Linked DNA regions of Caenorhabditis elegans. The protein of the gene in region 1 purifies or fractionates together with the protein of each later gene. This does not show direct contact. Each region holds a gene or a part of one and is shown in the gene's direction. Other genes may lie near its edges.

What was found.
Region 2: the proteins of spig-15 (region 1) and hsp-16.49 fractionate together in Caenorhabditis elegans (co-fractionation; one large-scale study listed by BioGRID). This does not show direct contact.

What each region holds. Positions count from the first base shown.
Region 1 is NC_003284.9:11,992,921-11,996,658, forward strand, and holds spig-15 (Acyl carrier protein), read left to right. Parts: upstream 1-1,863; 5' UTR 1,864-1,928; coding exon 1,929-1,964; intron 1,965-2,631; coding exon 2,632-2,862; 3' UTR 2,863-2,919; downstream 2,920-3,738.
Region 2 is NC_003283.11:9,088,604-9,091,517, reverse strand, and holds hsp-16.49 (Heat shock protein Hsp-16.48/Hsp-16.49), read left to right. Parts: upstream 1-1,751; coding exon 1,752-1,889; intron 1,890-1,944; coding exon 1,945-2,238; downstream 2,239-2,914. Other genes in the region: hsp-16.11 (Heat shock protein Hsp-16.1/Hsp-16.11), read right to left, coding at 914-1,225, 1,278-1,403; hsp-16.48 (Heat shock protein Hsp-16.48/Hsp-16.49), read right to left, coding at 2,901-2,914.

The sequences.
Region 1 (3,738 bases):
ACATAAAACGGGTCAGGTGGTTTCCTTAGTGGCGCGGTGAAACATTGCCCCTGCATTTCATTGGATGATAAGTGGGACAGCGTTGCTGCGGCGAGTGTATTTATGAAACAGAAAAATGGGAGGAGAACATTGAAAATTAATGGAAACGGAGTTAGTGACAATATATCACAAGCGAGTTATTTGAAAGGTGTTTGAAAATTTCATATGTTCAAATTTTAGTTGACGCTGACTATTTTACAAGATTCTATCTGACTAGGGCTGTGCAATCGGACGTCCGGCGTCCGGATGCGTGTGCGTCCGGCGTCCGGAAAAACTGGACGCGTGTGTGTCCGGCGTCCGGTTTTTCGGACGTCCGAAAATTTGTTTTTTTGTTTTTTGTTTACAACCTCACTCATTCTCACTGAGATGTAAACAAAAAACAAAAAAAACCGGACGCACCCGCGTCCGAAAACCGGACGGTGGGTGCGTCCGGCGTCCGGCTTTTCGGACGTCCGAAAAAAACGGACGTCCGGTTGCACAGCCCTATATCTGACAACATTGCTTGGAGTGTTGGACCTTCTAACTGCACTATAATAATACATAAAGCACATCAAAAGGAGTTGCCTGCGGCTGGAATCGAACCAGCGTCGCCACGGCCACAACGTGGAGTACTAACCACTATACTACGCAGGCCGAGAGATCTCGAGAAATCAGGTCTTTATCAGCAAATATTTTATTTTTTCCAAGTAGTGATAACTTTATCATTACTGCCGATTCATTTAAAAAATTAATGATGATTTCTCTTGAGAGTATCCAATTTCGAAAAAGTTTTTGTGGACGATGAAGCATCATCAAATGAATTCGGTGATGAAAATAGCCATAACAAGTGAAGTGAACGTCGAAATGTGGATGAGATACGATCCAATGTTGATATCCGGCAACTTCTGAAGACATGGCAACTTAATAACAATTTAGATTCCTACGGAAATTCCGGTACCGTATATTTTGATGTTAGAATAACAGTGACTGGATATTTTAAAAACTTCTGAACAATTTAAAATGTTTTATTATGATTTTTATTCATTTCATTGAACTTTCGGCCACTGATTTTTTTGCTGGAAGTTTATTTGTGCACTGACCATAAAAATTGTTCTTCAATAGAATAACGTTGTCGGGTCTCTTTTATTTTAATTCATTCTGCTTTTGCCATTTTTGTTTCTCCCACCGGTTGTCCATCTTGATAAATGTATAAAGAATACAAATATGTATAAACGTTTTAATTTTTCAAAAATTGCTTTTCATAATTTAAAAAAAAGTCACCCTTTGAAAATATTCAATAAACTAATTCAAGCCTCCAACTAAAATTCCGCATAAACTGTACACATGATTATTTACACTTTCTCCTGCAATACTTCATGTATATGATAGGACGAATAGTTTTGAATGAAGTGCAATTCTTCTCAATCATATTCAACCTCTGGTATTCACTCGTTCTGTATTGTAAAAAATCCACTCAGTTTCTCTCAACTGCCTTCTCCCAAACACTTGAAAATTAAAAAAAAGAACCGTTAAATTCACTTGTAGACTTTTCATTCTGCTTTTTGTACAGTTCTCAAAAAGTACATATCTAAAGGTCAATTTGCAAGCCGTAAAAACTGTGTTGTTTCAAAAGTTAATTGCCAATGAACAACGCAACTTGTGGTTGTTTGTGAAAAATCGCATTGAAACTTCGTTTGATTATCTTTCTCTTTTTATTTTTGAACGAATTTTATCATTCGAATCTCGTGCTGTTCTTGAAATAGGCAAAGAAGATAGATACGACCGTGTCAGAAGACATCTCCACCTTTTTTTGTCTGTATAAAAGGTATTTTCACAATATCAGTTACAGATAGATTTTTATTTTGTACTAACGAAACTAACGAAAATTTGGTCAACTTCCTACTCCGAAAATGGAAATGTTTCAAGAATATCTCACTGCACCATCTGTAAGTTTAACAAAACATATAATCTAAAGGTTGACTACGGCCACTGGCAAATGATTAAAACTTGTTGCTATGGTGCCAAATTAACCATAATTAAATATCCGAATAAAACTTTTAAAAAAATTTGGAAACTTTTTGATTTAGAGTCAAGTAGTGATGAAAACTGACTTTGCATCATTTTTTAAGAAATCTAGAGCACTATCGCATGTTCGAACCCAGGCAATGTAGGCATTTGGATATTTTAAGAACAGTTAAAACAAAAAAATTGAAGAAACAATTAATTAAAGTTATTTTTATTAAGACTTGATATAATCTTGAAACAACTCAAAAAACATCTCATAACTGTTTTCCATCCAATTTAGCATGTTTTACCTACAAAAAAACTAGAAAAAAAATGCAACATTAGACATTATGTACATCCTAAAAACTACGCAGTTTTTACTTTAACACAAATTAATATTCACAATCATTTGCTTTGAAATACTTAAATTACATGAATGTTTAGAAAAATAGCAATGTTTTTTTTTAGTTCCAAACTTGTTTAGAAATTACTTTTATGAGAGAGATAACTGTTTCCTTAAAGATAAGTGCAGAAACTAATCTTTGGGTTTATTACGTATATGAAAGTCTGTAAACTTCTTCAATAAATGACAAATTCACTTGTGTTTAGGTCGAAGGAAAGGTACAACAACTGATCGCATTCCTAGTTCAACAGCCTGCCGATCAAATCGACAATAGCTTTGACTTTAAAGCACATGACCAGGATCGTGCCGAATATTTTGATACAATGATTGCAGAGGCCTTGACTTCATTTTTCGAAGTGCCAACCGAACCGTCAGATATTGAACCGTTGAGCACTGTCCAGGATGTGGTCAATCGTGTGAACAGTGGAAATGCTTAAGCAAATTTGCTGATGATTGAAATAAATGCATTTTCCACAATGAAGTGTTTTTAAGACAGTTTTTTGAATTCAAAAATTTATGTAGGTACAAAAATCGAAATTTCAAAACTATAACTCTGTTCGAGTTGTGCTATGATTTACGGCAAAAACGAATGGAATGTTCTCCCAGACTACTGACGCATGCGGTGATGACACATGTTCTTGCAAACATGTCTGTAGAGTTGTTTTTAAGGGCAGATTAAAATAAATATAATGCAAATAAGTCACCTTTGCCGTTTTCATTGTTTTAGATTGTTCCATCTTTTAGAATGGGATACATCTGTCAGTTAAGAAATTGCTCAAAAGTGCAAGTGCAAAGAGTTGCATTTTGAGCAAAAATCTGTGTTATGTTACACCAAACTATATCCATAAAACAGAAATAAAAGTTTAGTAGATAAAAAACACATTCAGATAAAAAGTTAGTTCTTTAGAGATAAGGTTTAAGGCTAGTTTCTGAGTTCACTACGTCTGCAAAAATGCCAAAGAAAAATTATTATATTCTAAATGTGATATAAAATGTTTTTTGAACCTTTGAAAAATTGTTAACGAATAAGATAACATTTTATTTAGAGGTATTCGAATTTGTAATTTTAGAAGTTTCTACCTGCAAGGAAATGTGGAAACAGTTCTATGTTTTGTAAAATAAAGTAGTTCTGATTCAAATATACATACATTCTAGAAAGTACATTTTTATTATTTTTTGAAATTATTTCTGTTCGTTTTCCGAATAATCAATTTACTAAATTCAAATACTCCAATTTGATTATAGACCGGTAGTAAACCAAATACCTCAATGCCATTTTTATATTTACGTTTACTTTTTGTCCAGAGCTCTAC
Region 2 (2,914 bases), on another chromosome or scaffold:
CTCGAGTTGAGATTCGCCAACAGCTTAATTTTTGCGTATCGGGGCTGCGTGCGCGCGGCCCTGAAAAAATCTAAATACTGTTCTTAAAAAAAGCCGGTATGATTAGCGAAATCGTGTTCAGTTAGGAAAAAGCATCGATACTCTGTTTCCAAAATCAACCCTGTAGTGAACTCCATATTAGTAATGGAATATGGGGTTTGCTTCAACTTTCTTTTTTGGAAATTCGACAGTCTACCAAAACTTTGATTGAGCGTTTTTAAAAGCAGTTAACAATTTTTCGCTCGTTTCATAATGAAATTTTGTCATTTCAGCTGATCATAAATGCATTTTAACAGGGACTCCTACGGCAACGACTTCGAGTTATAATCGCGATCAGATAGAAAACTGTTTGAACGTTCTGCTACTGAAATTGACGTACGTTTTACTTGAAACTGATTCGTTATGCCAATTACTATTGAAAACAGTATTAATATATTTTTCAGGGCCGCGCGCACGCAGCCCCGATACGCAAAAATTAAGCTGTTGGCGAATCTCAACTCGAGACTGCCACACAGGTCAGCCCATCCAAAAGTGCAATGGATAGGCCTCACCATGGGGATCCCGCCTTCATGATCGCGAGATAACCCCCAGCCAGGTAAGTTTAAGAAGTGGCGGTAAGAGAGGGTAAGGGTGTTGTATAGCATGACATCTGGCGGGTTCCGCGGAGCAATGCAGAATGTGTTAGGATGGGAGGGGCTGTGCAATACCCAAAAATAGGCATTATGCAAGAAGTACATTGCCGGCATTTACATATTTATTACTAACTTTCAAAAAATATCACAAATTCATATTATTTTTAAATTTTATTGAAACAGAATACTGGAATTTATAGTAATTACATGCATAGTTCAAAAAAATCATAAAATTACAATAATTATTCAGAAGTTTTTTGTTCAACGGGCGCTTGCTGAATTGGAATAGATCTTCCTTGAATCGCTTCCTTCTTTGGTGCTTCAATTGAAAGTTTTCCATCTTCTGAAAGATTTGAAGCAACTGCACCAACATCAACATCTTCGGGTAGAAGAATAACACGAGAAAATGATTTCTTTGAATATCCATGTTCAGTCTTTAATTCTTGTTCTCCTTGAATTGATAATGTATGTCCATCCAAATTAATTTTCAAATCTTCTGGCTTGAACTGCGAGACATTGAGATTTATGGCAAACTTTTGATCATTGTTAACAATCTGAAAGAAATCTTTTTTATACAAACTCTTGAAAAAAAAACGTGTTACTTACCTCAGAAGATTCAGATGGAGAGCCTCTGCAAACTGGAGTAAATTGACGTTCCATCTGAGCCATATCTCTCATGAGATCACCAAAAACAGAACGTTGAGCTGGACGGAAATAGTGGTAAAGTGACATGATTGTAGTTTGAAGATTTCACAATTAGAGTGAATGTTGTTTGGTTCGGTTTTGTCACTGTATTTATACTCATTTCCACCTTTTTCTAGAACATTCGAGCTGCTTCTTGCAAAAGGAGGGCGACTCACATTCAGAACATTGAGAAATAGTGTGCGTACTGAAGAAACCCAGATACTTTTTCAATCTGCGTCTCTTTGCACCTATGGGGTGTATTTTGAAATGAATGCATCTAGGACCTTCTAGAACATTCTAAACGGCTGCAGGATACGGGTATATAAGCCAATCGTGTTCAGAGGAAACCAATACACTTTGTTCAAGTGCTTACTGTTCATTCTCTAAACTTCAAGAATGCTCATGCTCCGTTCTCCATTTTCTGATTCAAATGTTCTCGATCATTTCTTGGATGAAATCACTGGATCTGTTCAATTTCCATATTGGAGAAATGCTGATCACAACTCATTCAATTTTTCCGACAATATTGGAGAGGTAAGAAAATAATCTCTTTTTCAATTGTTTATTTGTCAAATGTTTTATTTTTCAGATTGTAAATGACGAATCTAAATTCTCTGTTCAACTCGATGTTTCTCATTTCAAACCAGAAGATCTTAAAATTGAATTGGATGGAAGAGAACTAAAAATTGAAGGAATTCAAGAAAAAAAATCAGAGCATGGATACTCGAAACGATCATTTTCAAAAATGATTCTTCTACCAGAAGATGTTGATTTAACTTCTGTCAAATCTGCAATTTCGAATGAAGGAAAACTTCAAATTGAGGCTCCAAAGAAGACTAACTCATCTCGTTCTATTCCCATTAATTTTGTTGCAAAACATTAATCTTTTATTGTATTCCAAATATTCTTAATTTCAATAAAGTCATTAATTTAATTTATTCATGTTCTCTAGCATAACAAAAACATCAAATCCGACTTTCCAATTCAAATATTTCAAAACAACATAACGGCTCAACTTTACAGCATACTCATGCTACGTTTTACCAACCGTTAAACGTTTAGCTATAAAAATTCCTGCATCGTTTCAAACGACTTTTGCAACTTTTTCAAAATTCAGTTTTTCAGCTTAATTTCGCTCACAACTGTGTTGATCAACTGCACCTTTATAACAGCTTTTGACAGTTTTTAAGTGTTTTTATCAAGTCGCAGGAGTTTTCTGAGAAGCCGAGTAGCTGGTAGCTTAAAATATTTTCTGATTTTTCTCTTGAAGAACCTATTTTATGAGGGCCCTGTAGAAGTTGCACGCACTGTAATTTTTTTAAAACATTTTTTATGTTTTTTGTTTTAAGCATAAATTCAAGCTAAAACATTTATTGAGACTAATAAATTTTTTGCATAAAAAGTTTCTGGAATAACTTCAATTATGTTGTTTTGAAATATTTGAATTGGAAAGTCGGATTTGATGTTTTTGTTATGCTAGAGAACATGAATAAATTAAATTAATGACTTTATTGAAATTAAGAATATTTGGAATACAATAAAAGATTAATGTTTTGCAA